Tribolium castaneum: one gene and its partners. The protein of the gene in region 1 interacts with the protein of each later gene in a pairwise test. Links are inferred from orthologs where the notes say so. Each region holds a gene or a part of one and is shown in the gene's direction. Other genes may lie near its edges. The genes, in order: Atg4a, gamma-aminobutyric acid receptor-associated protein and microtubule-associated proteins 1A/1B light chain 3C.

The links.
Region 2: the proteins of Atg4a (region 1) and gamma-aminobutyric acid receptor-associated protein interact in binary tests that used the Caenorhabditis elegans proteins (3 or more experiments, as listed by UniProt). The link is inferred for Tribolium castaneum from reciprocal best matches to the Caenorhabditis elegans genes atg-4.1 and lgg-1.
Region 3: the proteins of Atg4a (region 1) and microtubule-associated proteins 1A/1B light chain 3C interact in binary tests that used the Caenorhabditis elegans proteins (3 or more experiments, as listed by UniProt). The link is inferred for Tribolium castaneum from reciprocal best matches to the Caenorhabditis elegans genes atg-4.1 and lgg-2.

Annotation. Positions count from the first base shown.
Region 1 is NC_087398.1:5,532,532-5,536,289, forward strand, and holds Atg4a (cysteine protease ATG4B), read left to right. Parts: upstream 1-1,116; 5' UTR 1,117-1,265; coding exon 1,266-1,374; intron 1,375-1,419; coding exon 1,420-1,765; intron 1,766-1,818; coding exon 1,819-1,898; intron 1,899-1,943; coding exon 1,944-2,068; intron 2,069-2,114; coding exon 2,115-2,348; intron 2,349-2,402; coding exon 2,403-2,609; 3' UTR 2,610-3,213; downstream 3,214-3,758. Other genes in the region: protein takeout, read left to right, coding at 1-112, 161-444, 509-702; protein phosphatase 1L, read right to left, coding at 3,431-3,758. UniProt on the Caenorhabditis elegans protein: Cysteine protease required for autophagy. Cleaves the C-terminal amino acid of ATG8 family proteins lgg-1, to reveal a C-terminal glycine.
Region 2 is NC_087401.1:11,663,432-11,666,259, reverse strand, and holds gamma-aminobutyric acid receptor-associated protein, read left to right. Parts: upstream 1-1,128; 5' UTR 1,129-1,166; coding exon 1,167-1,379; intron 1,380-1,557; coding exon 1,558-1,755; intron 1,756-1,802; coding exon 1,803-1,877; 3' UTR 1,878-2,211; downstream 2,212-2,828. Other genes in the region: uncharacterized protein LOC100141600, read right to left, coding at 1-151; RpL6 (large ribosomal subunit protein eL6), read left to right, coding at 2,471-2,530. UniProt on the Caenorhabditis elegans protein: Ubiquitin-like modifier involved in the formation of autophagosomal vacuoles (autophagosomes). When lipidated mediates tethering between adjacent membranes and stimulates membrane fusion during autophagy. Recruits lipidated-lgg-2 to maturing autophagosomes.
Region 3 is NC_087401.1:16,967,842-16,971,599, forward strand, and holds the start of microtubule-associated proteins 1A/1B light chain 3C, read left to right. Parts: upstream 1-1,030; 5' UTR 1,031-1,071; intron 1,072-3,758. Other genes in the region: Hcs (biotin--protein ligase), read right to left, coding at 200-350, 403-556, 612-773, 821-1,030. UniProt on the Caenorhabditis elegans protein: Ubiquitin-like modifier involved in the formation of autophagosomal vacuoles (autophagosomes). When lipidated mediates tethering between adjacent membranes and stimulates membrane fusion. Less effective at promoting membrane fusion than lgg-1.

The DNA of each region.
Region 1 (3,758 bases):
TATTTCTGGACAAAGTCACCGTAAGTAAGGGCTCGGGCGCTATCACGCTCACTGGAGGGCTCTACGATTTGGTCGTGTCTGGCCCTTCGAATTCCACGCCGACTTACACCGAGTAAGAATTAGGGAAATAAAAAACCGTTTTTGTAAAAAATATATTCAGATTTGACGAAGCCAAGAAAACGTGGAATTTCGGCCTAACTTTACCACTACTCTCTATCAAATCTCAATACAACCTCAAGGGAAAAATCCTGGTTTTGCCCTTAGTGGGACACGGGGCCTGTGACCTGAAATTGTCAAATGTGCAAACTAAGGTCACCACCACCGTGGATTTCCCGCTCCGGGAGGGTCGCGAAGTTGTGAAAATTGACAAAATGCAGGTGGACTTTAAAGTTGGAGGGATGAAAGTGAAACTTTATAATCTCTTCAACGGAAATAAAGTTTTAGGTGAGTGGTTTCTACTCCGGTATATTTTTTATTATTTATTTATTTATTTTATTTTTTGTTTCAGGCCAGACTGTTAACCAGTTTATCAACCAAAATGCGCTAGAAATCATCGGAGAGCTGAAAGATAGCATTGGTGATAGCTTGGCTGGTATTTTCACCGACATCATGAACAACGTTTTTACTAAAATGCCGACTGATCTTTGGTTCTTGAGCGATGAAGAATACGAAAAATATCAGAAAGAATCAAATAGCAAGTAGAATAATGCGTCTTAATAGTGATATGTTTGGATGTGACCTAATGCTAGTGCTATTCGAGATCGGCAGTACAAAATTTAGCTTAAACTTTTAATTCTCTTTATGTTAGGTTTTTCTTGATTAGCATGCGTATTATTTCCAAACAAGCTTTGTTGTTGTATGTTTTTTAAACAATAAAAATTTAGCTGTATACGTGTGTTTTAATTGAGTAATGAGTTCAAAATATTTTTGGAAAATGACATGAAACACTCTGTAAATGAAAACATCTAACATGTTAGGCAACCAGTTATGTTACCTATCAAGTTTACATTACAAAATTAATTAAAAAAGTACAATATAGACTGGTGATAATAAACAGAAATGAGTGGTTTCTGCGTGTGATAAACGTGATTAAAAATAGAAAAAGCCAAATTTTTCGTTCACTTGACACATCAGCTGTTGTTTGACACCAAGATGGCGATCTGACATTAAAAATGAAAACAAACCGTGGAAAACAGTGATTCCTCAAAACTCGCTTACGATTTGCCAATTTAACGTTAAATCCATGAATATCCCCTTTCGTGACAATGGACGGCATGTTCGAACTATACCTAGACGGGAGCATTGAGCCCGATGACATCCCCCATACTGCAGACCCCGTCTACATCCTAGGCAAGAAGTACAACGCACTCCAAGGTAACGCCTTTTCTGTGCGTAGTCGCGACCTAACACCCTGTCTAGAATTGGACACGATCCGCCAAGACATTCTCTCGAAAATCTGGTTCACGTATCGGAAAAATTTCGTTCCAATTGGGGGCGACGAAGGTCTCACCACTGACAAGGGCTGGGGCTGCATGCTACGATGCGGCCAGATGGTTCTGGCGCAAGCCTTGGTCACGCTGCATCTGGGCCGAGACTGGGTCTGGGAGCCCGAAACCAAAGACTCCACTTATCTCAAAATACTTAGCAAATTTGTAGACAAGAGACAAGCGCCGTTTTCCATACACCAGATTGCCATGATGGGGGTGTCGGAAAACAAGGAAGTGGGGCAGTGGTTTGGACCCAACACTGTGGCCCAAGTCTTGAAGTAATAACAAAGTCCAATTAGTGATTAAACGGTGTTAAATGTTTTATTTGCAGGAAGTTGGTAAAGTATGACGAGTGGAGTGCAATTGAGATGCACATAGCGTTAGATAATACACTTATTATTAGCGATATAAGTAAGTGAGAGTTGGGGTTGGAGTGGTTTTGATGGTGGTTTTCAGGAGAGTTGTGCTTAAGTCAGGGGAGTGACGGTTGTAGCAGTGGGGACTGGAAGCCGTTGCTACTTATTGTGCCTTTAAGATTGGGACTGCAAGAAATTAATCCTATTTATGCTAGTGGATTAAAGGTAACAACGAGTGTGGGAAGAAATCTGTTACACCTTGTTTTTTTAGAAATGTTTTCAGTTCAAACAAAGCCTGGGTGTGATCGGTGGCAAACCGAACCTGGCGCTGTATTTCATAGGACATGTAGGAGACGAAGTAATATATCTAGACCCGCACACGACGCAGAAATCCGGTTCCGTGGAAAGCAAAGAAACGGAAGAAGAAATCGAGCTGGATTCCACCTACCACTGTAAATACGCTTCTAGAATAAACATACTCAGCATGGATCCCTCAGTGGCTGTGGTAAACAAATACATCAATTCAAAACAAACAGTTCTAACTCGGGAACAATTTCAGTGCTTTTTCTGCAACACTGAAGGCGAGTTCAACGATTTGTGTCACTCGATCAAGAAAGACCTCATCGAGCCCGAAAAACAGCCGCTATTCGAAATCACTTATGAGAAACCCAAACAGTGGACGCCGACGCTGGACGACGCCGTGGAGGCTGCCGATTTCGAGCTATCCGGAGAGTACGATTCCGAGCACGAATTTGAAATTTTGTAACAATTTTCTCATTTAACTCAGTTTTTATTGTCGCAAATTGTGGATAGAGGCCCGCAAATTGTAAATATTTTTCTTACTCATACTTGTTTCTGTACATAGTGCATTTACCGAGGGGCGCCACTCGAAATGTTTTAACGCTGCCGGTGCCAAAAATATCGACTTATTTTGTACATAAATGACGCCGATATGTTTCGTGTAAAGCTTTGTATTTTTCACCATAATTGTGGGTCTGTGTTTTGTAACGAAGCGGGCGAACAGTCGTCGCACACGACAAATAATCCTGCATTATGTTATGCCTTGACAAATAAAAAGTGAAATCAATCTCGATGCCACCAAAACATTTATTATTAGTAGTAGTTCATAAACATTTTATTTAGATAATTGATTTTTATATTATAACCTTTATCATAAATAGACTTTAAAAAAAAGTTCTGACGGAACGACCAGACCTTAGCAGTATACTCTATAATGCTGTAAATAAATGGTTCCGTAGTTTTGTTCCCCGTGTATAATCCACAATCAGTTAATATAGTGCGGGATTTATTTGTAAATAAAAATGTACCGTTGGCAATTGAAGGAAAATAAAGAGAGCCATCGTTTTAAATCGTTTTTTATTGTATACATCGAGAAAAAAGATCAACAAACCTTACAGCCATTTTTAGAGTAATAGTTCTTTGAAACTTAAAACAACACGTAATCAACATGAATCGACTCGCGGGCCTCACCGGCCGCCAGAATCGGTAAAAAATTTAATCAACACGAAATGGCCTAGACTAAACCGCAGGTACAAATCTCAGCTAACTTGAGCAAAACCCCGCTTCCTAAGCGCTCTTCTCCGCACTGTGGAAGCTAAAGGCGTTATCTCTGAAATTAATCACGATAACGGTGATATTATCCAAAGAACCGCGATAATACGACTGTAAAGTTAAGCTTTTCGCACCATAATCGGGTTCGTTCAGTCGTTCTTTAATAAAACTGATCGCTTCTTCGTTCGAGAAAGTGTCCCACAATCCATCGGAAGCCAAAATCACAAACATCGGCTTGTGGTCGTTTAAATCGAACGTGAGAATATCCGGATCGGCGATGACTAATTTCTTGTCTTTGAGCGGGTAATCCCCGAGCGCTCTGGACGTGGCTAAGATGCCGGCC
Region 2 (2,828 bases), on another chromosome or scaffold:
TTGTGTTTTTTTGGATTGAATTTAAATACGTTAGGATTGTATTCATCCATTGCGGCCTTATTGCATAATATGCGACGTGGCTTAACTGAGTGGCGTATCTACAAGAGCAAGAGGGGATGCAACATTTTACATCCAAACGTTCATTTGCCATGTAATAGCAAAATAATAACGACTGCAAATAAATCACTGATTCACAATCGTTCTAAAGTTAGTTCTCACCCTTTGGGACTACAAATTGCAAGAAACGTCAGCCACTGCGAGGTTAGGTTTAATTCGCGCTCGGCCACCAGGTGTCGTCAAGAAAAAAACAACATCCATAGAAGTAACAAATTGAGAACACTTATTCTAATTTTCCAAAAAATTATTTAAAAAAATAAATACTGTTTATGTTAATGTGTCCTATGTGATGCTACTAACAATAAATACAGGATGACCCAGGGGTGTGTAATCGGTCTATAACTTTTTTGATAATTAAGATATTACTATGCGTTTTTATTATCCGATAAATCGACTTAAAATCCACAATCTAAAAATATTTTTATTATGCTGAGGGTGTTGTACACCAAAGTTTTATTTTTTTCACGTATCGATAACATTTTTGATGAGCTCTCTAATTAATGTTAACTAAAAAAATACCATTTTTTTATCAAAACGACCCTGTATTTTAACGTCTTTTTAAAATGTTAGCGCGATTTTTATTATTAAAAGCCCAACTATCGTATGTTTTAAAGTTATTGGGTCGAATGGTGAACAACCAACATTACAAGACACTTTTTTTCTATTTTTCAGTAACGTTTTTATTTTTAACAAATTGATTGTCGTTTTTTCGCCAGTCACTGTGTGAGCCAAAACCATGATTTTGCCAACGTCCACTATTTCCTAACGTTGGGTTTCTTACGAGCTTTGCCCTAAAAATAAAATAAACTTAATTCAATGGACACAAAGAAAATAAGTTAGGTTACGTCATTGTCACATTTTAAATTTCCCGCGAACTCGGTTAGTCAAAACCCGGCTTTATTACCAATCAATCGCTCGATTCTCTTTGCAGTAATGTAATTTTAATTGTATTTATTGACTGTATGATACTACGATATCAGTGATTAGTCATTCCTTTGCGGCAAAACCAAATTAGTTGATTTTCGCCTCGTTATCGGTTGTTGTTTTGGATGCGCAGTAGAGGAAGTTATTGCGATCGATTGTTTTGTGTCATAACAAGCAAAAGTGACCAAAGTGAACAAACGTATCGAAACCTTGTCAACGGCCCAAATTCCTGTGTCAAAACCCTCAAAATGAAATTCCAATACAAAGAAGAGCACCCGTTTGAGAAGAGAAAGTCCGAGGGCGAGAAAATCCGCCGAAAGTACCCCGACAGGGTCCCCGTAAGTATCTGCGTCATTGCACCCAAACAAAGAAGCGCCCCGTCCAGAGCCCCAAATTGGGGCCAAAGCCCCCGTTCCTAGCCCCATTTTCCCCGATTTCACCACACGTCGTCATTTGTTTTGTTTTTACGAAAATGGCGTATCAAGGTCACGTGATGTCAATTGTTTTCGTAATCAGGTGATCGTCGAAAAAGCCCCCAGGGCCCGAATTGGTGATTTGGACAAGAAGAAATATTTGGTTCCGTCGGATTTGACCGTGGGACAGTTTTACTTTTTGATTAGGAAACGGATCCATTTAAGGCCCGAGGATGCGTTGTTTTTCTTTGTAAATAACGTCATTCCGCCCACTTCGGCCACCATGGGCTCGCTCTACCAGGTTGGTAGCACTGGTGTGTGATCTAGGGGATTTACTCACGGTTTTAGGAGCATCACGAAGAGGACTTTTTCTTGTACATTGCTTACTCTGATGAAAACGTTTACGGAAGCGAGGAGCTCTAATTTAGCAACAAATGAAATTTTTATAAATCTCTGATTACAATAAAGCACCGGTAAAAGTTTAACATTTATTTTATATTACTTATAAGGCTTTTGTTTGTCTGAGTGGCGACTTTTTCTAATTGTGATAGTTGTATTGTTTATTTTTATCTTCTGATAGGGCTGAATATTCTAACACTTTTGAGTTGAATGTTACGGAAGCGCTGCTATGAAAGGAAGACGTTTCATCACAAATTTAATAAACTGATATTTAATTTTTGATGGAATTACGAAAGTATTAGATTAGGTATGTAAAAGAGATGATGTAGTTATCTAAATAAAAATATTTAAAAACCAAGACTTTTTAGTTATTATTTGTTTGCAAAAACTTCGTGAAATTGTTATCATTGTGTTAACAATTCAAATTTTTGGTGGTGTCCTTTGTTTTGTTGGGTTTTCCCCAACTGTGTAAATTTATTCTATTTTAATGGTGAAAAGCCGATCCTTAGGCCACTAACTAGTGCACATATAACTAAAGAACTAATTTTAGTGTTAAATACGATAACGAAAGTGCAATATTTTCCCCATTTTAGGAATTAAGAACGCATTTCAATTTTATGTTGGTAGTGACAAAATCACTAGCAGCGCCATCTCCTTTCACCGCAACATCTGCAAAGGTGAGTGTCTTCGAAGTGAATTTTTACAAAAATCCACAATCATCGTCCATTTTTCGTTACTTTTTTGCCCCAAAACCTTTTCTAAAACAATCGTCGGCTCATTTAAAACCCAAATCTAGTGTTATTTCAGTGAAATTGTGCCGAAAAAACATTTTGTGAGGTTATTCGTAAAAGTGTCAATACACCGTCTTACATCCGTAAAATGCCTTTAAAGTGATGATTTTATTTGCCTTAGGACACTTCTGAAGACTGCAGTGTCGAATAACGTGAATCTGACCACTTTTGTGAAAATTCGCCA
Region 3 (3,758 bases), on another chromosome or scaffold:
AATAAAAAATTGATGTTAAAAGTATGCCTACTTGACGTAAAATTGTCTGAGGGATCCAAAACTGTCTTGATTTTTGTTCTACGATTCGTAGTTTTGGAGATATTAGACGAAATATGATTAGTTTTAATTTTTACCAAAAAAAATTTTTTATTTACACATGTTTGAAGTGACTTTCCCCAACAATTAATAAAAAACCTACGTGGTAATGTCGCGTATTTTCGAGTACAAGTCCTTGACTTCTTGCACGAATTTCCCCCAATGAACTGGAGCATATGAATATTTCAAAGTTTGTTCTTTGAGATATTTTTTCTCGTATTTGATGACAGTGGGTGTATTTTCAACATCAACAGCTAAAAATAAACACACGACAAACAATAAACCCCCAAAACTCATTCCCCATACTTTCAATTTTAAGTAACTTTAATTCATGGTTAATATCAACATCGCTTTGGCTAAACTGATTGACCAGCTTAGTCAAATGATCCATGTCTGTTTTAACCACAACTTCGAACGAATCGCTCGCTTTCCAACCGATCAGTTCGCCAAAATGCTCAACCTGAAAGCCCCAACTTAAGCCTATAATATAAGTCAAGCAGTCGTAACCACCTTACTTGAATAATCTCACTCTGATGTTTAACATAATTGTCTAAAACGGCCTGAAGGAGGAGAAAAATTTGGGGCCGACTAACACTGATTTTATTGTCGTCGATAAAAATCGGGAAGTATCTTAGATTTTTCGGAAATGCGATCCATTGACTTAAGTTTAGTTTTTGCTGGAAATTATTGTGATTTTTTTTTTCAACAAATTAAACGACAGTACCTTAGGCACAACTGTGCACGCGATCCTATTCTCAGTACTGTACAATAAATTCTCCAAACTTCGCTGTTTTCTGCTATCGTGCACCGAATGCCCAGAACAGACAAGCAAGGCATTTTGATCGTTTAGTGTTCCGTTGAGTTTGTTGCGTAAAGTTCGGAGACGCCACCACTGCATTATGGTGGCGTAGGCATAATATAAAGTAAAGATCATTATGTTTTATGCCTCCATTGCACCTAAAACAAAAATATTCGGTAAGTTACAAAAACCAAAAAAATTTATTTTAACTTTAAATTCCAGAAAAACTACTCAGAGACTGGAATTTCCAATTAATTTCTTTTTTTTACGACTTTAATTGCTCCAAATGTCACACTAATAATTTAAAAAGTGGAGAAAAAACAAAGAGAATACAAATGTAAGTTTTTTCAAAAAAAAATATAAGTTAGAAAAAATTAACAGAAACTGGCCTAAAACGACTCGTAGCCCTCTTTAGTACTTAATTATCTGTTACTGAACAAAATTTGGTAAAAATCGAGCCATAAATGCGCAAATAATATAGATAAAACAACTTAGTCAAAATTTTTACTTATCTACCTAACAATAAAAAAAATTCTCAAGGCAAAATAATTAAAAATTCGTGTTAAAATTACGTTTACTTGACGTAAAATTGACTGAGGATTCCGAATCTGTGTTTATTTTTGTTCTACGACTCGTAGTTTTGGAGATAATTGACGAAATATGCTTGGTTTTAATTTCTCCAATCAACAACAAAATTTAAAAAAAATTAAAATAAACAGAAATTGCCCTAAAACGAAACGTAGCACCGTTTAGTAGTTAGTAACCTGTTTCTGAACAAAATTTTGTGACAATCGAACCACAATTGTGTAAATAATCCGATTAAAACAACTTGGTCAAAATTTTTACTTACTTACAAATCAATAAAAAAAAATCTCAAGGCCACAATAATTAATAATTAATGTAAAAAATATGCCTACTTGACGTAAAATTCTCCGAGGATTCCAAATCTGTCTTTATTTTTGTTCTACGACTCGTAGTTTTGCAGATAATAGACAATATATGGTTGATTATAATTTTTCCAACAAAAAAATTAAAAAAATTAAAATAAACCGAAATTGGTAAAAAACGATTGATAGACCTTTTAAACAGTTCATTATCTGTTTCTGGGCAAAATTTTGTGGCAATTGAGTGACAATTCCGCAAAATAAGCCGAATAAAAGAACTTGGTCAAAATTTTTACTTACCTACCTATCATTAAAAAAAATTCTCAAGACCACAATAATTAAAAATTCATGTTAAAGGTAAGTTTTCTTGACGTAAAATTGTCTGAGGATTCCAAATCTGTCATTATTTTTGTTCTACGATTAGTAATTTTGGAGATAATGAACGAATTATGGTTGATAATCATTTTTCCAAAAAAAAAAAAATTAAAAAAATTAAAATAAACCGAAATTGGTAAAAAACGATTCATAGCCCTTTTAAACAGTTCATTATCTGTTTCTGGGCAAAATTTTGTGACAATCGAGTGATAATTGCGCAAAATAAGCCAAATAAAATAACTTGGTCAAAATTTTTACTTACCTACCTATCATTAAAAAAAAATCTCAAGGCCACAATAATTAAAAATTCATGTTAAAGGTAAGTTTTCTTGACGTAAAATTGTGTGAGGATTCCAAATCTGTCATTATTTTAGTTCTACGATTAGTAGTTTTGGAGATAATGAACGAAATATGATTGGTTTTAATTTTTCCAATCAACAACAAAATTTAAAAAAAAAAAAAAATAAACAGAAATTGGCCTAAAACGAAACGTAGCACCGTTTAGTAGTTAGTAACCTGTTTCTGAACAAAATTTTGTGACAATCGAACCACAATTGTGTAAATAATCCGATTAAAACAACTTGGTCAAAATTTTTACTTACTTACAAATCAATAAAAAAAAATCTCAAGGCCACAATAATTAATAATTAATGTAAAAAATATGCCTACTTGACGTAAAATTCTCCGAGGATTCCAAATCTGTCTTTATTTTTGTTCTACGACTCGTAGTTTTGCAGATAATAGACAATATATGGTTGATTATAATTTTTCCAACAAAAAAATTAAAAAAATTAAAATAAACCGAAATTGGTAAAAAACGATTGATAGACCTTTTAAACAGTTCATTATCTGTTTCTGGGCAAAATTTTGTGGCAATTGAGTGACAATTCCGCAAAATAAGCCGAATAAAAGAACTTGGTCAAAATTTTTACTTACCTACCTATCATTAAAAAAAATTCTCAAGACCACAATAATTAAAAATTCATGTTAAAGGTAAGTTTTCTTGACGTAAAATTGTCTGAGGATTCCAAATCTGTCATTATTTTTGTTCTACGATTAGTAATTTTGGAGATAATGAACGAATTATGGTTGATAATCATTTTTCCAAAAAAAAAAAAAATTAAAAAAATTAAAATAAACCGAAATTGGTAAAAAACGATTCATAGCCCTTTTAAACAGTTCATTATCTGTTTCTGGGCAAAATTTTGTGACAATCGAGTGATAATTGCGCAAAATAAGCCAAATAAAATAACTTGGTCAAAATTTTTACTTACCTACCTATCATTAAAAAAAAATCTCAAGGCCACAATAATTAAAAATTCATGTTAAAGGTAAGTTTTCTTGACGTAAAATTGTGTGAGGATTCCAAATCTGTCATTATTTTAGTTCTACGATTAGTAGTTTTGGAGATAATGAACGAAATATGATTGGTTTTAATTTTTCCAATCAACAACAAAATTTAAAAAAAATTAAATAAACAGAAATTGGTCTAAAACGAAACGTAGCACTGTTTAATAGTTAGTTACCTGTTTCTAAACAAAATTTTGTAGCAATCGAGCCAAAATTGTGCAAATAATCTGAATTAAATAACTTGGTCAAAATTT